Drosophila melanogaster: one gene and its partners. The protein of the gene in region 3 interacts with the protein of the main gene of each other region in a pairwise test. Each region holds a gene or a part of one and is shown on either strand. Other genes may lie near its edges.

What was found.
Region 1: the proteins of aspr (region 3) and nub interact in a two-hybrid assay, tested with the Drosophila melanogaster proteins (one large-scale study listed by BioGRID).
Region 2: the proteins of aspr (region 3) and sala interact in a two-hybrid assay, tested with the Drosophila melanogaster proteins (one large-scale study listed by BioGRID).
Region 4: the proteins of aspr (region 3) and Mob2 interact in a two-hybrid assay, tested with the Drosophila melanogaster proteins (one large-scale study listed by BioGRID).

Annotation. Positions count from the first base shown.
Region 1 is NT_033779.5:12,586,074-12,590,629, reverse strand, and holds the start of nub (nubbin), read right to left. Parts: upstream 3,006-4,556; 5' UTR 2,578-3,005; intron 1-2,577. UniProt on the Drosophila melanogaster protein: DNA-binding regulatory protein implicated in early development. Involved in neuronal cell fate decision. Repressed directly or indirectly by the BX-C homeotic proteins.
Region 2 is NT_033779.5:11,483,068-11,487,493, forward strand, and holds sala (spalt-adjacent), read left to right. Parts: upstream 1-1,639; 5' UTR 1,640-1,964; intron 1,965-2,113; 5' UTR 2,114-2,147; coding exon of another isoform or gene 2,148-2,660; 5' UTR 2,661-2,687; exon of another isoform or gene 2,688-2,716; intron 2,717-3,014; 5' UTR 3,015-3,142; coding exon 3,143-3,154; intron 3,155-3,224; coding exon 3,225-3,641; 3' UTR 3,642-3,882; downstream 3,883-4,426. Other genes in the region: CG43355 (uncharacterized protein), read left to right, coding at 2,148-2,660. UniProt on the Drosophila melanogaster protein: Likely to be involved in the establishment of the head.
Region 3 is NC_004354.4:20,146,292-20,154,146, reverse strand, and holds the start of aspr (asperous), read right to left. Parts: upstream 6,024-7,855; 5' UTR 5,889-6,023; coding exon 5,886-5,888; intron 4,086-5,885; coding exon 3,911-4,085; intron 3,550-3,910; coding exon 3,311-3,549; intron 3,203-3,310; coding exon 3,121-3,202; intron 1-3,120.
Region 4 is NT_037436.4:11,550,072-11,554,926, reverse strand, and holds the start of Mob2 (Mob2), read left to right. Parts: upstream 1-1,814; 5' UTR 1,815-2,097; intron 2,098-2,233; exon of another isoform or gene 2,234-2,388; intron 2,389-4,855. UniProt on the Drosophila melanogaster protein: Required for the normal morphogenesis of a variety of polarized outgrowths including epidermal hairs, bristles, arista laterals, and dendrites.

The DNA of each region.
Region 1 (4,556 bases), on a different chromosome or scaffold from region 3:
GCAATAAATTTCGTATTTATAATGATAATAATAATGGAATAAATGTCATGACTTTTTTAGAGTTAATAAACATATACTTAAGAAGACACTTGCTAATGTGCCAAATATCAGGTACGCAGCCCTTAACTTAACGCCACTTGAGGCAAGTTGTATCGCACCGGACCTTACCTAACGCAAACCATCGAAACAAAAAAGTGAAAAACCGGTGCAAACCGATTTCCAAGATTGCGAAATGTGAAACGTGTTAAGCGAAACAAGCCCCCCAATGAACTTTGCGCGGACTAAACATCAGCCCATATTTCAAGATTCTATTGTTTACCCCCGGTGAAAGAATTACGAGTTCCAAGAATTGAATTTAATAAACTTTAATCACGAGCCTTCAACTTATTTGTTAATTTTGCAAATTATATTTTATTGTATCGCGCCAATCGAATTTCCGCACGAAGAAGATAGTAGTGGGGGAAAGGACCCTTTTAACGAATTTGGCTTATCAACCGCAAAGAAATCAATAATTCTTATCAACCATCCGCTGATTCTTTTGGTCGCCAAGTCTCAAGTGATTCATATTTAAATGATATACGGAAATGATTAGCTTGATAAGAATCTAATTCACTGATATATGACCTCATTTTACAAATTATTTAAAGCGGGTGACTATAAATCTATTTTCGGAATGGGAGTAATATGCTCCTAACGTAATGAAAAACTCAAATCCTAATCACCTTTAAAAGTAAGTAACTTTAAAGAGTAAAAAAAAAGACATTTTCAGAGCACCTGTCACCTTTGAGGATCCTGCTATCAAATCGATACCCATTCAATTGATTAGTTTTTTTGGGGCTTGGCCGAAATTTCATTGTTGAACATGAACAATTTCATTGTTGATATGCAAAGTGCTGGGGTATGAAGTGTGTGGCATGGCACTGGTTCTTGGCTCTTGACTCTATCTCAACTCTCCTCACCTCACCACCCAACCAACCTGCGAACGGAGTTGTCTTATCAGGCCAGAGCAAACAAATTGAACTCATTTCTCTTTTTAAACAACAGCTTCGACGCAATTGTCGACACGGGTCTACGCATAGATATAGATACTCCAATAAGAACCAACTCGTCTTGGTCTTCTTGGCCCGGTCGGGCTTAATCAGTTCAGTTCGGCTGGAGGAGCACCGAATATGGTAAATGGGAAAACGCAGTCGAGATAATGCTACGCCAAGAACGAGAAGGAGAAGAAAGAAGCAGGTTAAGTTTTTCCATTCCATTTTTATCTAATTAGGCTAAGCAGGCAACGCGACAAACGCTGGACAAATATTTATTATTGTACTGTAAAAATAATCAATCACTCGATCGTTACAGCAAATGGTAATGGTATCTGTACGGCTGTATCTATATACGCCACCCAGATAACGGCATTTGAATAAGAAAAAAATAAAGAACGAGTGTCCAACCAAAAGGAAATGCAGTTCCAACTTGTCCAGAGGCACTTGAACTCAAAACTGCGGCACACCACAAGTGTTATGCTAATAAAACATATCGTGCCGATCGCCTTATCAATAAGGCAACATAATATACGCTTGTGTATTGATATAGATATACACATTAAACAAATCGAACGGTGGGTTGGTACGATATTTAAAGTGTAAATCGATCGATTTTTCTCGCACTTTGTTTGCCGTATTTATTTATTTCAATTTCAATATTATTTCTCGCCTCACCGTTCACCCCCGGCGACATTGCGAAAGATACTGGAGTTACAGGTATCCCACTTCAACTTTTGTAGAGTAAACTTTGATGCAGGTTCTGTTTACCTCCGGTCTGAAACTCAAGGCGCCTTACTTAAAAATGGTTTATACAATATCCCCCCTCTTATATGGTATACATTTCCTTTACTTTCAGTAATTTTCAGTAAATTAAGTGGTGAAAAGCCCGTTTTATAGATTGTCAAACACTATTTACTGCTGCGGGGTGGGGTAAAACCCTTTAAAAACGCTAGGCAACATAAATTCAAAAATGTTTCATTTATTAAAGCTTGTTAGAGATTGCAGATTAGGATTGTGAAATTCTACACGGCTTTGATTAATTGAATGAATCATGATTAGGGTCCAGGTGGCCTGGGGAACTCTTATCAACAAAAATTTCGGATGTCACTTGTTGTAAAATTGTTCAATCTTTTAGTCAAAAAAGGTAAGTCATTTTCGTAATTAGAAAATCAGTGAAGTTATTTATTAAATGACCCATTATTATTTTCTTTTATAAATAAAACATTTATACAATTGTATTTCTTTCCTAAATTTGTTGGTTACCAAGGTATTTAAATATTTATATACCAAAAAGATGACTGTAAGCAATTCTAAAATTTTTCAAGAAGCTTCAGACCCTTGGTCTTGGTTTTCAATCATTAAAAAATTTATTTTTGTGGTAACTACAACTTTAAATTTATTTTCTGCACATGTATATTGTTATTTTATTTTCATGTATAACAACTTGTACACAAATAATCAACCTTTCTAGATATGTGTCAATAAAATTTCTATGAATTCTTTTATATTTTTCATAGCTTAATTTAATACTCATGGGATTTACCTCAATTGTTGAGTTTTTCAGACAAACATTTCAATCTTTAAATATCAAATTCATTTCGTTCAAGTGAATAAGTTATTAGTTATCACTGTACTTTATCTGCACAATATGGGGCACTCTTTAAAAACTATAAGCGTATAGTTTTTCAATAAATTATGATGTTACTATGAGCGAAATTTGCGTCTCATTCGCAGCACGTTTCGATTCGCACAAATGCCGTCGTCAAAACGCAAAAAACTGCGGCACAAAAAGAGATCGGAAAAATCGCGACGCGAGAGCGATGAGAATGGGGATTTTTATTAGAGGGGTTCATTCGGGATCGTATTGTATCGGTCGAGTAGCGCATGGGATATCGCGGAGGACAAAATGTGTTGCCAAAGTCCGGGGAGCGCGCGCACTTGAGCTACAACCACTGAACGCTGAACTCAACTGAGGCGAGCTCGCCAAAAGTATCTTAAAGATGCGCAACAGATCGGCAACTTTAACGGCAGCGGGCTGCAACAAGTTTTTTTTTGCCAAATCCATATAAACAAAAGGCAAATAAACAAACGGCAGTGCACTGAAACAATTGCAATGTGAAGTGTCTCTGTGTTCGGGTTTTGCTGTAAGTGTGCGTGACTTTAGTTGCTCGTATCTGCTGCAGGTACTTGCACACACAGATGCACACCTGCTTGCAACATTGCAATTGCAGGAGAGGGATAAAAGAGAGCGCTTAAGCTCTCTCAAAACCGCAATGAGTTATGTTTAAACATTAATTCATTTTAGTGTAAAAAAAAACAATTAAGTTTAGTTTGAGAGCTAAAATTCTCTTGTCTCTGAAAAACTCTCGCTCTTGCTCTCTCTGCGCGCTCTCCACTCACCACTACTACTGCAAAAAGCAGCGATCGCTCACTTAGGTTCCACAAAAAGCTGACCCGTTGGGGAAAAAGAGACAACTAATCGCGCTCGCTAATTTTCACACACACTCTTGCAATATTCAAATCTGGTTGCTCGCTGTCCCTCTCTCACTTGCATGCTCCCTCGCTTTATTTAAATTTATGATTATCGCCCCCTTGTGTGTGTGCCTACTTAATCCAATTGGAGGTGGAGCCGTGACTCTCCGTCCAATTGGGAGATACGTTCGCATAGACTCTCATTCCGCCTGCATATATCGCCTCGTTAACTGTCACATTGACGCAGGTGGGGGCTTTATCTTTATTTTGGGGCCCGGACTTATCCAATTGGATTTTTGTTTTGCAAACTGGTTTCGCCAACGCCTCTTATTGGCAGCGTTATTTTTAGGTTTGCTTCGGCTATTATCTAAGTACAAATTGATTAGAGGAATGCGAATTTGTAGTAAAAGCTTTTAATTGCGAGGGAATTTGAATTTATTGCGATTTATTTCCCTTTGGCTTAATTCAGTACAATACTTTTGTATTGAAATAAATAAATTTATATATGTATCTTGCCATTCATTCTTGGTTTCATCCAGATAAGAAATTATATGTAATTATATAACTAGATAATTATACATTTTCTTTGTTTTACTACGTGCTTACTTACATTTTGCTAACAATACCTTAAAAAAAAAACTACACAAAATTATTATTTTACACATGATAAAAAATAGTTCTGTTTATATGGAGTGTATTTAGTTTGTCATCATCTGGATAAACTCAACAATGTAAATTAATCGTCAAAAATTCGAAAGAAATATTTCCCAGCTAAACGGTTATCCATTGAATGGCGAAGAGCATTCAGGTTGGACCTGCCCCGCGGAGTTTCCATTGAAGGGCATTGTTTTGGAGGGCGCCGCTGCTTCACAAATCGCATACGCACGATCTGCTGACACAATTCCGCCAGCAATTAAGTTGATTCACCTCCGCGGGCTGGAGATTTTACCTGTTGCTCAATTTGCCGGCATTTAAAAAAGCTGTCAACAGCGATCGGGAATCGGGTATCGGCGCGATCGACGACCTGGGTGCATAATTCCGGCCAACTGG
Region 2 (4,426 bases), on a different chromosome or scaffold from region 3:
CGGTTTGAAAATTGTGAAGAGTATATGATGAAAAGCTGACACACGTGCGCTGAAGTTAAATGTATATACCACCAGCCAAAAAAAGCATTATCGCAAATTCACCGAAACTTTTCATAAGTTTGGAGAGCGCTGGGGGAGATCGTGTTCGAGAAAAGGTTTTCCCCGTGGGTTGGGTAAAATGTAAATATCGGTGGTAATGGCCGCCGCCCCAGGAGGTGGAAAAATCAACTGACCAGTAACTTTGGAGCCAACTTTGATGGCATCTTGCGAAAGTTGAAAGTGACTTAAGTGAAATTTCCACCTCAGGCGGCTCAGCAGCAGGACGACCTCGTCCCCTTTTCCATGGATTATCGAGGGGTCACGCCATGAACATGAGTAAAAATTAAATTGATTTTCCTCGGACATTGTTCGGACCTGTTCAGAAACTCGGTGTGCTTTTCTTTTTGGCCCTTCATGGGCTTCTGTCAACCCAATGTATTTTGTCGCATCCCTCGGAAAACTTGAGCTGGGCGAACTCCTTTAACTTGCCTATGTGGCATATTAAATTGGTGCGCAAATAGTTGTGTATTTTATTGACTCACTTTTACAGCTCAGCCAAGAGTATTTCGCATCTGCCCAAATTTTTAGCCAGCAAAATATTAAGTTGAGAGCTTTACCCCTGGAGTCTACCAATGCCGCAATACCATTCCTTTTCTACTCGACTTAAGCGACAATTTCATTTCAATTAAATTATAATTATATCTTCAGTTTGGCCCCATCAAGTTTGAGTCAAACAAAAAGTACAATTTTCATTTTCACCTTTGCGAAAGACGAGGCGGGCGTTGATAATTCCCCAAAATTGTTTGACACTTCAAAGTCATTATGAAGATAGCAATCACCAAACCCTGTTCCTCGGTCCGCTCAACTTTTCTCCAAGGGTCCTGGCATATCTTCACGACATTCACTCCCTGCCACTTCCAAGGCTCAGCAATCCTTCAGCTCCAGCCTGCCCCTCGTCCTTTTGCCACTTTACTCAATCCTAAGATGGGAATTGCCACGTCTGTCTACATACCTACATACCCGCAGCGCTTTTTGATGTAATTTTGGCATAAGCCAAAAAATGTTTCCTTTTCCCGAGATGTCTTTGTCTCCACTTCATTCCCCGGCGAGTGGTTTCCGAATGCGACACGCCCTGACAAATTCATCCGGGGAAAATGAGGAAAATGGCTGAAAATTAAATTTGGAATTAAAATTTTGGCCCTGGGCACATAACTTTATGCCGCTGGATTTTCTTTCCGCCCAGAAGGATTTCCTTACTCAAGGATAAATACTTAAGGCAAGCGTAGGCATAATAATAGCTAAGCAGCTTCTCGGAAATTAAGACGATTTAGTTGTTTAATTCTTTGGTTATCACTAGACTCCACAAATAAAGAGATAGATTGAAAATGTAATTAGATAATCAAATATAATTTTCACAGTTTTAAAGTTTAACAATATTGCTTATTTAAATGGTTGCTTTTCACCTCCGAATTTACTTTTAATCTCATAAGCATTTGAACTTGTAGTATTTTTGGCGGCGATATGTTATCAACAAACAACTCTTCCAAAAATAAACCTATATATTATTTTTTGGCAACCAAATACAATGCCACTCTAAATTGTAAATAACATTTAAGCAGCTGATCCAATTCTTGTGTTCAAAACAACAAAATTCAAAGCAATTAATTGTGCGCTGGTTTTTCTTTTTGCCTTTACTTGTATTAGGAATTATTCTTTAAAATATTTATTGATAGAGAAAAAAATATCCAGACTTATATATATCAATGAATTCGGCCACTGCGTCAACAAATCGAATTCTAACTTGTTTTAGCTATTAAAAGCAACAAATAAATGACGTATTAATAAGTACGCTAAAATAAACCAGTTGCAAAACAAACATTTATTTACTGTATATTGTTTCCATTAAGATAGAAATAGGAAAAAATGTAAGTCAATGAATATATACATAGAAAATATTCTTATCAGCTTACCATATGTATGTACAACGGACGTATAAACATATATAATAATTTTTGCATATAAAAAGATTCAAATGCATCTTGTTCTCAAAAATATTAGTCATACATCTTTTCAGATCGTTGCTCTAAATTCATCTGAGACTCGATCAGATGGGCTGTCGGCGATTTTCTGGAGGAGGACATCACCCACACGGAGGTCCACCTCCCCCTCGTCACCATCATCACCATCGTGGCAGACATGGTGCTGGTGGACGCTGTGGACACGGACACCAGCACCAGCCTTTTCCACCACCGCCTCATCGCCCCCATCGACATGGAAGTCACTTTTGGGAGGGATACGGTCCACCTCCACCACCGCCCCATTATCCACCACCAGGGGGATATCTGTATGGTGGCCACCATTGGCAGGGATATCCTCCTCCGCCACCTCCGCCTCCTTCTTCACACCACCCCCCACCATCTGGATCTCCAGCAGGAGGGTGTCCGCATTGCGGTTGCCCAGGAGGCGGTCCACCTCAAAGTGGATTTCCTGGTACCGAAAGACCTCACAACGAAACCTCAAACGACGATCAGCATGGCAGCTTCCAATCTCCAATTCCCGGTGGCGAAGTTCCTACTGATGAAATACCTGGAAAAAATAAATACGAAATCATTGATATTTAGACAACAGTAGAAAATGTTTCAAAAAAGGTAAAGTCACTATGTTATATCTTGTATCTGAGTAATGTCTTATTAATGATTTTATATTATCCGGATTTTCCTGATCAAAAAAATCGAGTAATGTTATGTTGATAAAAACTTTTCAAATATCAAATAAATAAATATAAATAAACAAATAATTTAAAAACTCCTTTATATTTCCGTCATTTCAATATGGTACTGAATTAGTATTAGTATTCTATTCAATTCCGGATTTTTCTGTTTTTCCATTTTCCCTCTTCCAATAAACTGGTTTATTTTATTTTCCATCGTAACCAGATGTTGACGGCAATACTTTTCTGTGATTTCCTTTTACAGGTAGAGACTCAAACTTAAGTCCCTCAGCCAGGTAGAATACCTTTCAGCTACCTACTTGATATTACCAAATCGTGGTATAAAAATCAAAAAAATATTAGAGCCGCCTCAGTACCGAAACTTCAGCCACGATGAAACTACTGGTGCGTCTTCTACTATAGAAATCTTAACTAACTTAGAAATATTTTTATAATAACAAATTTATAACTATAGATTGCTCTGTTTGCACTGGTGACCGCTGTGAACGCTCAGAATGGATTCGGCCAAGTTGGACAAGGAGGATATGGAGGGCAAGGAGGATTTGGAGGATTCGGAGGAATCGGCGGGCAAGCAGGTTTTGGTGGACAAATAGGATTCACTGGACAGGGTGGAGTTGGTGGCCAGGTGGGAATTGGTCAAGGCGGAGTCCACCCGGGTCAAGGAGGATTCGCTGGACAAGGTTCTCCAAACCAATATCAGCCTGGTTACGGAAGTCCTGTGGGATCTGGCCATTTCCATGGAACTAATCCAGTTGAGTCCGGTCATTTTCACGAAAATCCTCATGAATATCCGGAACATCATGGCGATCATCACCGTGAACATCATGAGCACCATGGACACCACGAACATCATGGACATCATAGACATTAGTACAAATATGAGAATACCCATGACAAAATTAAAGGAATGTAATGCTATAGTTCTCTACCGTAAATTCTTAAGAAACACTTGCTTGTTTCTGAAGTCTCTATTGTATCTAATGTCCAGAATTGATTTGTAAAAGTGATTCTTTATCTAAAACCCCCTTGAGATCCACTATACAACGTGCCTTCTTGAATTTCAGTATCTAAAATGAAAAAAAAAACGGAGTCTCAATAAAAAAGTAAATAAGGAAACGGAACCCTTTACTCTGTCCATTTTGGTTGAGGCATCTATAAATTATTTTGCAGATAGCATACAAGCATATATACCCCACACATCCCATCTCAACTTTTGCAATCGGAGAAAAGGATGCCGTCGACCGCTCCCAAGCGACATTTTCTGACCAAAGCAGCTGACAGAATTGAAAAATAAGCGACGTCCGACTAAAAGGGGGAATGGGGAGGGAATGGTAAAGGGTGGGGTTCAGGTGGGTGGGGGCTGAAGGTGAAAAATAAAAAATGGCGTCCAGTCGAGTGCTCAACCTCAAGATTTATAACGAAGGAAAAAAAATAGAGTCGAGGTGAGGGTGGGAAAAAAGAGCACACGTTAAAATAATGCAAAAGCTGAAGAAAACTAAAAAAAATGTGCGGGAAAAACTGCCACCCACACGGCCAAGGAAAGAGTGAGAAGGAAAACCGCACACACACTGATGCGCGCAACAACGGAAATGGAAAGGATAAAATTAATTTTTCTCCTTTATTGCCATTTACTTCACCTGCTGCTGCTGCTGCTGC
Region 3 (7,855 bases):
TGTCGTAGACTCGCCCACAAAGCTGTCTGCAACAGTATATTTTGAATGCGGCATGGCGATGATGGATTCATTTCCATCTGAGCAAGACTTTTCAGTAAGTAAGTGCTATATTGCCAAGTTCAAGTGTCGATTTAGTTGAGTCTATGAAAAGTTCAATCGGCCGACGAAGGAAGTTGTTTTCCACCCGACCTTTCACCTTTCACCTTTCACCATCGTTGGGGGTTGTGGCCCCTGTCAACATCCGCTGTTGCTGCCCCATTTTTGATTTATGCCGGGTCATGTGACTTGTGTTCCGGTCAAATCGGGAAAATACCTCCAATGGGGCCAATAATTGGGGGCCGGCCACTCAAAGTGGGCAAATAGAAAATCATATTCAAATAGCCGGGCTCATTTATGCGCATATTTTTGGTTTTTACCCCATATTTTCTTTTATTTTTGCACCAATTGTTGTTACTCGTCGTTCAAGATGATGATGATGATGATGGTGATGATGATGATGATGATGATGGTGGTGGTGCGGTGAGCAAGTCAAGAAATTAGTTTGCGTTGTTTTCCGTTCCGATGGCAAAAGTTTCGCCATTATCAGGCCTTTTCTCTTACATTTCCTTTTGACATAATTTGCGAGAAGCAGCAACTTTTCCGCGCCGGGAAAATGTATTGTAATGAAATGTGGAGTTCGGTTTTGAAAATCGATTGCAAAATGTCTTGCAACGAAAGTCGGAAATGCTCGTCGTCGACATTAAATCGATGTATTGGTAGATTTTCTTCGAAATATATAGCTAACCAAATAGTTATTTTTTATTATCGGCGTGGCAAACGCATTGTGGACCTTTAAATGTTAGCAATTCATTTGTATTCCTGCACGAAATCTTTAAGGCAAATGTCCGTGAATGTTTTCAGTTGGTCTGCAACACGCCCAAAGGGAATCGCAACTGCTTCGGCTCCCCAGGAACATGAATGGAAAAGAATCCGGTGTCCTTGGGGCGGCAGCAGGGAACATCATGGAGCAGGGAATCCGAGCTACTTCCATTCCCCGCAGACTGTTCGTTTGCAATTATTGTTTCCAAGTCAGTTGCTAATTGGAAATGCAAATAAATATTGTATTTCAATGGGAATTGCACGCAAACGGAGGCCGGAGTAAAGGCAACACAGAAAGGGATTTAAGTGAAATCAAGAATATATGTATATCGGAGGACCAGTTAAGATGCAGAAATCGGAAAAGGGGCGAGAAATGCCAGGCCCTTGGACTCGACACGAATCCCGAATGAGCAACCAACGTAGAGATGCAATTTATTGACGCCGACTCTTGGACGGACAGCAATTGAAATTGGTTTTCAACTGACTTTATTTTAAAGAAATTCAAGCCAAAGATAATATTTAGCAGCTCAATATTGGCGTTAAAAGTTAAGGAATATAATAGATTCGTTGAGGTAGAAGACCCCCCCCCCCCCCCCACCCATCAAATAATTTCCTGGTTAGAAGTTCTAGTTAATTTGCCTTTTGAACATGTGCGTTTGTCCGTTCGTATAAAAGCCAGAATGTTGGTAATAAACAAGCAGGTCCTAGTGACATTTACACCGCTCAACTTTCACGGTCACAATTTAGAAAAAAGCTTTCAATTATGTGTTAATTTTAATATTTATAGTTAAGAAATTCCCAGCAGGAATTATTTCAACTAATGACGGAACCTGCGCTTAGCCACTATTTATGGCAAGTTCTGAATATGAAGTGTTTGGAAATGTTACTATTCCCATTTAGAACGCTTAAATATTTAAGCCGATCAAATTACGTTCAGTGTGCTTCAGTTTGTCGTTCTAAAGATGATATTTTTCAATCAGTTTCTTGCAGTGTAGCCCCCGGGTGGATCAAGTTGTCTTCTTCCAGCGAAATTCCCAAGCCACTCGGCCGACCTGTGCTACCTGAATGGTAGCTGGCCGACCTGCGCAGCTTATGACCATAATCGGATGTTGACTGGTGCCTAACCGGGGCCACCTTTCGGTTCCGTCGGATTCCAGCTCTACTAGGCTCGACTACGGACACTCGTTGGCCTTGAGAGCTCGCCCACTGCGTCCTTGATCTTGACAATTGCGAAGCGAAATGCTATGCTAATTACCATAAAATTACAAAGGCCCCAAGTGTTGGGCGTTGGCCGTTGGCTTTGGATTATTATTATTATTATTATAATTCTCATTATCATCGAGTGCAAAATGTTATGCAAGCAAGGTAAACCCACATGCTGTCCAGAGGCCCAGCCCCCTGTTTTTGTCAATACACTAGATTTGACCAAATTTGGCAATACCACTTGGATTTGCGACGTCATCTTGCCACTTATCTAGCACCTCATTGTGGAGAAGGGATTCGCGAGTGGGCTAATTAATCGATGTACCTATGTCAATCCATGTCTATATCTATGCATTTCCGGAACAATCAGTCGTATGTCCACTTTGCATTAATGCAAAAAAAAAATAATAATAATAAATAAAACATAATAAACAACATGAGTTGTTTACAAATTGTTTACAAATATGTCGCGATCTATGTGTTCATTTAGTTTGAAATTTTTCTATTAGACAAGGCATTGCATTATGCCAATTTTCAAGTGCATTCGTGTATTGCCAATAATTTTAACACTGCAAACACTCCGCTCCTCTTGGTTCATCTCATTGTTATGTAACTCAGTAAAGAAACCTGTTTGCCCTTGATTTAATTCAAGTGGTCAAGGCTTATTTCTCGGCTTGGTTTTCACATCCACACTATGTATGTACATACATGTATGATCACTTGCATCTTTTAGCTAATTAAAATTTTAACCAGCTGATGATTGTAATTCATATATTATTAGTACATAATCAATGTTAAGATGTGCGCGTTAAGAACTAAGAGCTTTTAATTGATTCGATCATCTACTAGTACATATATCTTTAAATTGTGCATTTCTCAGATTTCCCAATTAATTAATTTATTTAATCGTGAAACGAAATACACAATCGAAGCGGATTGATTTCAACAGCTCCCAGTTGAGCGAACGACTCTTATGACACCCGGCATTTTAATCGATTTTGAGCTCTGCCACGCCTACCCCGCGGCATGTGGGCGGTAGTGGAGTGGTCAGGCACTTACCCGGATCGTTGAGGTGGCAGGCGTGGTATGGGTCGCCATTGTAGCCGGCGGGGCAGCTGCACACGGCCACGTGGTTGCGGGCCTGGAAAGAGCAAGCGGAGGTGGCGTAGAGTGCCGATGGTCAGAATGCGAGGGAATGCGCCAGAAGTTGGCCGTGGAGGAGTGTTGGCGACATAAAAGTCCCACTTACGTCACAATTGGAGCCAATGCCACAGGCACCCACGCAGGGATTAACGCAGCGATTGTCCTTGCACTGCAGGTTGTCGCGACAGTCGACGTTGTCCAGGCACTCGCCGCGATTGCAGTGGGTGAGCGGATTACCGCTGAATCCGGGCGGGCACGAGCAGACGGGCCGTCCTCCGGAGGCCTCCTGGCACACGGCGTTCACGCCGCACGGGCTACCGCTGCATCCGCTCGCGTAGGACTGCGCTGTGTGGGCGAGAGGAGAGGAGAGAGGCACAGGCGGTGAGGTGATGCACTGGTGCGCAGGTGAACTTGTGTCTCAATCTAATCTCTAATGCTACGCTACTACGAGTATGGTATGTACATACATATGTATACTATACTATACTATACTATACTATACTATATACTATACTATATATATATAGGGGTTAGGGGTTAGGGGTTAGCTACTGCAGACACATTTGGGGCGCGGGGTCAATGGTCAAGGATCAAGGGTCAAGGGTCAGGGGTCAGGGTGCTGGCGGCGGTGCTCTCCTCCTATGTACATCGTGCTGGTGCGGTAAGACTACGAATACGGATACTGATAGGCAAGCTGTGTAAATACCACGTGTGTAGACCGGATCTCTATAGACAACCCGCTGCAGGGATCGCCCATCGCCGTAGGTGTAGTAAGTGCGGTACGTGCAGTTCACGCAGCGCTTCCCCAGCTTTTTACCTGCGGCCAGTTGGGGCAAGGACGCGATGGCCACCGCCACCAGGGCCACGACCAGGAGCTGCTGCTGCAAGAGAAGGATCAGCTGCGATTAGTGCTGCTATCACTTGAATTTAAATTCAATACGATACCGATCTAAGATGAATATAATATTTGAATATATTTGAATACTAACTTGAAGTAACTCCAAATGGAGTGCATTCACTAGTTCTCATTAGTAACGAAACTAAATAAAAGACAACGGTAATACAAAGATAAATGTCATATTCTGCGTCAATCGTAGAGCCAGTCGAATGAAATGAGTTTGAACTGGATTGGGATTCATTCACTAAAGTATTCGATATGAACAAACATCTCAATCGAGAAGCGAGTATCACGCCCCCTTTGCCGGTTTATGTGTCATAATCGCATTCGAGTTCTGAAAAAGCCCAATAAACATGACTAACTCGATGATCCGCTGTTTGGTAGCAAACATTGGCTTGGACTTGGACTCTCAGTGGTCAGTGGGATTCTGGTGGCACCATGTTTGGGCTAACTGGGCATGGAGATGAGACGAGACGAGACGAGACGATCGAGATGATGATATGGCTTCGCTCTCAAGGTGGCGATCATTGTTGGCGAATGACACATGGGTGATAAACTTGTTGTCCGCTTCTTTGGAAGCTCAATTCGGGCTAAAAACAATTATTCAAATATCGGCATACAATAAGAATATGCAAATGGGGGTCGGCTGCCTTTTCGAATTACTCTGAATGACCAATATGGTAGTCCATGTTCGTATCAACTAAGTTGTCGATCATCGCGTAAATGGCACGGATGGATCCACCGAGGGAGGAAATTGGATTTTTTTCTTAAATCACACATCTTGCAGGGTGATTTATAATCTGATTACATTGCGCAAGGGAAGTGAAGTGAATCAGAGCCATATTTGTTATATTATATATGTACATACATATGTACATTTAAATAATTGCTTTTGGAAGGGCGAGAACTAAATAGTCAACTATATAATCTGTTCAATCTTGAATTAGTTAAATAAAACGTAAAACCTGTCAGAGTTTAGATTAAATTAATGCTTTCTAAATTTAAATAATGAGCAAGAAAATGTTAAGTGCTCAACATAAGTAGGTAAAAAGGTAAACAATTCAAATCTATTGGACTTTTTACTCTTCTCGTAATGGCAATTAAAATAACAAGCTATGCTAAAGTGCTAGAAACTAATTGGTTTGTGTTTTTGGCTTTGTGCACAAACAAATGAATAATGGGCTTGATGTTTACTTGGGCAGCTTAAAAAGCGTTGAGTGATTGATCATCGCCAAAAAAAACAAAAAAATGGGCAGATAAAAGGCAGATCGAAGACACTCAAAAGAATAAACCGATCGTGGGCTTCAGAAACATTACGAGTATGTGGGAATATTTCTTGGTTCATTCGATGTATTTGCAAATCCATTCACCACTATTCATCTAGCCGGAAGTAAATAGCAAATAGCAAAGTTAAGTCCTTACATTGTGAAATGAATATTTTTTTTGTCGTGTTTGCTTTAAGTACATCAATATTCCATTCACGTATCATTTACTGAATGCATATTTTATGTATTGCCTTTGTGCGTAATTTTTTCACTTAAGTTTTCGCGGTGAAGAAAATAAACAGCAAATAAATGTGCAAGTTTAAATCTATATACTTATTCGTGATTCAGATTCTTTCCTTAAATCGAACCCATTTTTATTACTTTTATAAAATTGTTTATAAATTATCCATCGTTGATAGATTGCTTCAGTTTAGATGATTTAAAAAAAAAAAAGGATATATTCCTTAACACACGTTTATATATACATATTGATTTTGGTTATTCCCACTGCAACTCACCATTTTCGGGGTTCAGTTCTTAGAAAACACTAGCACTACAGCAGATAAAGAACGTAAAATAAAAAACAAAACAAAAAGTGTCAACTGATAAATGGTTGCGATTTCCCACTTGGCACGCTTCGCTTTCAACTGAGTCGGCTTCTAGACGAGCTTGGGCTATTTATAAGGCCGCAACTCTTAACTTGGCCGAGAAACAGCTGAGCGACGTTGGCGTCATCTCTCAGCTGCTCTGCTCTGCTCTGATCTGCTCACCTTCCCTTCCCGAATTCCCCTCTACCCCGCATCCACAACCCTTCCACTTACACAGAGAAAAAACTATAGTATAGCTTGATATTAAAGATTTGTAAAGTAAATTATCTCTCCTCAGGTAGTAGCATCCAATAGTTGTTGTAATTTTAACAAAATAAAGATCGGAATTTACCAAATTCATTAGTTTTATAACTAATTTACCATTATGTCTGCATAAGTTCAACTTGCTAAACTAGAAACATTTCGAGTAACGAAAGCAGTAGATCAAATTGATGAAGTAGTTAATTTAGTTATATATATTTGTTCAGCCTGTCAGTTGGAAAACTATTTTTCCCAATGCACCAGCATTCTGTCTCATAACTCTGTTTGACAAGCTTGTTTTGCTGTTTGTTGACTTTGTATATTGTGCTGCTCGATTTTAGCTAAAATCATTTCAGTCCAAATCGCTTCTCAGACTGAGTCATTCGTACACACATACATATACATATATATACATATATTTGCCTGGGCATCGGGCTATTTATATACGCGTACTTGACGCGACTTTGCTTCGGATTGTTTTGGTCATGCCTTTGCTATGATGGCTCGATTTCTGCGTGGGCCGCTGCATCCAAGTGCCGTGGGTCGAACTTGGCTGGGCTTCCTACTAAACACGGCTCCGGATCGTAGGCAACTTGGCTGTGAACGAAGAAATTGCCCACTTGACACAATGGGCAGGTCGCTAGTACTAGGCGGTACCTGGTAATATATGTACACACATATTTCTGAAAGCATCCAAAACTAAGCGACTCTTTATCTTTGTAGGATTTAAAAGACAGTTATGTCATTTAAATTTACAAATCTATTATACTATAATTTATACCGATTCTTCAAACAGAATGTATCTTATCCGCACCGGATGCCTATTACTACTAACTGGGGGAAATATTCAATATGGTCATTTCGCTAAGGTTTTTTCTTCTTTCTATTTCTTCTTAATTGGGCATAAGATATATGTAGATAATCGCATTACAAAATTTAATTAATTTCACGAATTTACATATTTTTCAATCTGAAATATGTCGGAAATTGAGGAGAACAAAAAATCGCCCATTTCCGTTCAAATAGTAAGCGAAAAGAGAATATACATAAATGAAAGAAAATAAAATTTGAAAAAAAAAAAAAACTGAGAGGCCGTAAATATTCTTGATTAGCTTGAGGTATTCCGATTCACTCATACCACACAATAAGCCAATTGGGTATTTCATTGAACATCTTCACTAACTCACTCTACCGTTTCCTAAGTCCATTTCAATGGCATTCGAGTTTAAAATATAAGCTTAGCAAGACCGGCTCCACTTTCATTCGATATCAAAAAGAACGGATTAAGAACAAACGAATCTGCACTGGAATCGAGCCAATTAAAACGAGAATCTTGACTTCTGCTGGCTGCGTGGGCATTGGTTAGAATGAATAATAGAGATGGTTTGACCTATAGCAATAAGATAATGACCATTTGCCAATTTGCAATCGACTACCATTTTCAAATGAAATGGCATCATTGAATGGCATCGCTTAAGCTCCGCAAATCGAATCGATATGGGAATATTACAGATTAAACTGCAAATTGAAACGTACGCCAATTGGCCATAATTGAATGAGAATTCACCTGACGACCGATACGGGCACCTGTTCTTTGGGCCAACTTAATTATACCGTCTTGGCCTACAAATCTCTGGGCC
Region 4 (4,855 bases), on a different chromosome or scaffold from region 3:
CTTTTGGAGCAAGTGAGATGGTTGCTGTGCTGTGTGGGTGGAAAGAGAGGGCCATAGAGTTGGCGGTACGGATCAGATGTTCCATTACACGCTTCGTGTGTGTGTGTGCGCAGCATAGTGTGGATGAAATTTTGATGTGGTGCAAATGAACTTGCCGCCGTTTCGGTTGCATTGCGGGCGGTCACAGGTGCGCGTTCTCTGCTGCCAAGATTCCTTTTCCTCTATCCGCTTCTCACCTTTTCGCCCCAGTCGTATTTGTTCTTGTTTTTCTTCAGCTCGTCAATGGACAGCTGTTTTGAGATACACTCGAAAAAAAGTGTATTAATGCAATTGTCTAGTAAATTTAAAAATATAAAATAAGTTTATGTGGGTTGGTACTGTTGTGTTTTTGTTAATCATTCTTTTTAGTTATTCGCTTAATGAATACCACACATGTCGGTCCAAATTTATCTAAGTGCATTGCGTGTTCCTGTTTTCAACTTTATTTACGCAGAATGACGATGCGTTTATATTATGTTTTCTTATTCGGGTCTAGATTCTGTGTAAGTTAGGCAGCAAATGCAGTTCCTGTGTTCTTCGGTTTTCGTCTACCGCTCCATTCTATTTGATTACTGATTTTATTTCTTCCTGGCCGAAAAAGAGCGTGATAATTACTCCCTGTGGAGAGATTTGATGGTCAGAGGAGTAGCTATTTCATGCGGGCTTGGGGTCACTTCATTGATAAGAACCACGTAGCTGGAGGTCCTTACCATCGAGAATAACAAATTGGAATATATCTTTAATTCTTTATTTTCTGTTTTCCTTTCAGGTGAGTGAAATATCTTGAGCATGAGCTTACCCAAATCCCAGGTAATTTGTTTAAGTCAATTAGAGCAGTCATTTTAACTGAGAAAAAAATTATAACATGCTTAGAGTATTAAACGTATTAAATAAATGTTTAGCGCTTTAACAAAACTCTATGATGTTTTAGTTGAACAGATTGTTATCAAGCCAATTAGTGTTCTTGGTAAAAGTACATAAGTGATGTGATGTTTGCGTCAATTGTACGAAATTGTGTTAGCCATTAAATTTGCCGAATTTATTTCGTTTACCTGTGATCATTAAAACCATGTGTTAATGAATCAACAATGGCAATATATTTATGAGAAATCCATTTAAATGTTTCATACGAACGGTACAATTATCCCTTTTCGTGGAAAATTAATTTCTAATTGTTATTTATAGAGTTTATCCTAGGTTTGTTCAATGCGTTAAAAAAGTAGTAGATTCTGCTACTATTCTACTGCCACTTTGCCGTGTTCTCTTGTTACCGAGCTGTGTGGCAACGCCAGCGCAGTCAGCTGCTGAGCATCAAAACATGAGCGCTCAGCTGATGCGAGAGAGCGTAGAAGAGAGAGGGCTAAAGCCAAAGCAGTCAAACAAGTGGTCGAAAACCGTATAGATGTGCGTGTCTCGCTTGAGTGGCGCATTTGTATGCAAAACACGTACACGGGCAGCTCTCTCCCGCTCAGCTGGTATTTGATACCTCTAGCTCTCTTCCTCGCGCTCGAGCGGAGAGCAAATGTTGCTGGTGTGCGAGACAGCAGCAACATCAGCAGCAACAATAACAACAACAGCAACCACTTCATCTTTACTGTGTGCTCTGCTTTCGTTGCCAGTTTTGTGTTTTTGCTTTTGCTGCCTTTTTTCTCTCCTTACTTGCGTGAGTGTTGATGTTGCCGCTGTGTGTTGCTGTTGTTGCCGCTGTGTATGTGTATGTGTTGCTGTTGCCAGCCGAACGAGCAGCAGTCAGTCAAAGACGGACGGCTTGGCTCAGTGTAGAAATTTCCTTTGGCACGCTTGGTCGCTCGAGCGGTTGCAGGTCGTCGTCAATAGTGGACTGTTGATGTCGCCGCGTCATTATTTGACATTGTTTTTCGAGGCGCCGCCGTCGGTTGCAACCACACATCATCGCGTCGCAGTTAAAAGCAAAACAGCAACTCCAGCAGCAAGCAGCGCAACATTTGCAACATCAATTGCCACCGTGAAATGCTATGCTAGATTGTGAAATAAAATCGCCTACCAATACAAACTAATATCCCGAAAAGGGGAACAAATGTAAGCCGAAAAGGAGTCTGTTCTCCAACAAAAAAAAAAAGAAAGAAAGAAAAGAAGTTCTTCTCTGTGTGTGTGCTAGTGTTTTCCCGTGCTGGTGTGAAACTGTGTCATTCGCTGCGAAAAACTGCATTCAAGTTTTTCCTCAGAGCCGCGACTGCTGGCGTGTTATTGTTGCTGTTGCAGCTAGCTGCCACGGTTTGTTGCTTCACTGATTACGCGCAATGCAGCAACAGCAGCAGCAGCAGAAGCAACAGCAACTAACTGCAGAGGAGCAATAGCAGCTGAGAGTTCAGTTGCGAAACCGGCGAAGCGCGACTGTTGCCAATGCAGCGCTTAGAATTGGCACACCAGCAACAACTGCAACGCTGCAGCAAAGCTGCTACTCCAGCGTCAGCAACAACAACGGTACATTGGGCATTCACAATGTTGCTTGGTGTGCCACTGCCACTGCCACTCCACCACTACTTGTTCCTCCACTGCCATATTGTTTTAACCACTTCCTTTGCCGCAGCGGCAGGAACTTCCTTCCTCACGAGCTTCCTGTCTGTTCGTCCGCTTGTCTGGTTGTCTGCCCTGCAACCCTCAACCCTCCCTTATTAACGCCCCCTCACACTCAACTGCATTGTCAGGTGTTTTCTCTGCCACACAGAAAGAAATGGGGGTATTGTTAGGGTTCATTTGACAGTTTTCACAAGAATTATTTAAAGATAGGTTTTTATGGAATATATCCTTATTCAAACTGCCTTTAAATACCTTCTAAAAATAAAAAGAGTGAAAATCTTAAAATAATGATATATCTTATTGGGCCTAGAGTATTTCCTCTTTTTTCCGTGCACATCCTGGTTGCGTTGTTTCTACTTTTTGTCAACCCCGTTGACGCGCCTACGTGTTCAATACGCTGAGAAAACAACAGTTACGAGTGGCTCAACCAGCAGCTTGTTATTTCTCACACCTTTCGTCCAGACCCCCCGCGCCTTCCTACCACTGCCCCTCGCCAACCCTTTGGGTCCTCAAATGCGCTAGGCCATCCATCGATTTTTTGAGGTCATGCTAAAAATTGCAAAGCCAACTGGAACTAGTTGCGGATTCCCATAGTTGAATTGCCATGGACAATTTGCGGAAGGCAGAGGAAATGAAATTGATTCAAGCCTTTGTGGTGCGATATTATCTAACCGAATTCGATTCGTTTTCTGTGTAGGCCCTTCTGTGTTGCGGATGTTAAGGATTTATGTAAGCTCAGGAACTAATTAGGAAGAAGCACTATGATATTTATCCAAACTAACAATTTTAGTTCGATATATAATGGTATAGAAAAGTATCTATGTACTATTTGCGATTGAACGTTTTGCCCCCGTTATGAAACACTTTTCTCACGGTATTTCCCCATTAAGCAATTCCAGCAAAATCGTATAGATACTAATTTAGTAACTCAGCAATCGCATTTAATCGAATTCATACATATGCATTTCGGTTCTATTGGGACTGTTTTCATTCGACGTGTATCTCAATCGATCGTTTAACCCATATGAAAAGGATAGTCACAGTTATAAACGCTGTCGGATGAATCTCTGGTAACTGGGTTAGTTAGCGACCCGAAAACTTCTCTGCGCCTTTCCGCCGAACCGTTATGCCATATGTATGTATGTATGATGCTCTGCCTGCCCGCCGGTCAGCTCTTCCAGACCAAACCAAACCAAAATGAAGCGAACAGAACAGAACAACCCAAACCAGCTCGAAGATATATATGGATGGGTTTTGTACGGCTTGGCATGGGGTTTGGTGGTGGGGGTACGGAGATACACCTATCTACTATGTATATCATGTCATCCATTGCATGTGCATCGCACATCTCACGTCACCGTACCGCTGCACAGCTTCTATCTCCCTTTCCATATCTGCTGTCGTCTTCCTGCTCGTCGTTTGCCAGTTGTGGAACTCGTTTTCATTTCTTTCGTTAGCAGACATAGACATAATTCTCCAGCTTTTCTAGCGAGCAAAGGGGGTGGGGGTTCATTTTCGGTTTCGGTTTCTATTTTTTTTTTCTCTCTTTCGACTTTGCCAATCGCTCATTTGACCTTTAACGGGTTGTGCTGCATATACATGAAAAGCACACTCAAATCGGCAACAATTAAGCTCATTCAAAACGCGAGCAATGGGCAATCTAAGAAAAAAAAAACACTCGCCGTCGCGTTGCTAGAATCACATCATAAATTTCGGTTTTGATGGGGCGCCAGTTGTTCTGTGTGCGGAGGTGTGAAAACGATACTAGAAGGGGGGCGCACAAAAGACAAAACTCGTTTGGGGGGAAAAGACAACAGAGTCAGCAAATTGGCTTCAATGCGAGTTGAAGGTTAAGTGCGACAGCGACGCGGAAATTGAACATTTTGGATATTGGAATCAGTAGCTGGTTTCGAGCTGAATAAACAAAACAATAGGCATTAACCCCTTTTCTGTCATCTTTCGATTTTTCGTACTTTTTTTTTAGCACGCACTTCAGACCATTTTATTGGCTTCCTAGTATTGTCTGCAAGCAATTAAAAGTTTTTGCTTTAAGCTGCACAAAGAGTTTCATGAGAAATTTGGGATATTAGTTTCGTAAAGTTAAAATTTAAAAGCACAAAAAATATAAAAAATACTAACAGAACGAATTAGTTTTACATTGAAGAAAGAGGATCTTCATATCAATAGAAAATCAAAGATCGAAATGTACAGGGTACCTCTTTTTGCTTATATAATATACCATTTTCAATGATTTCGT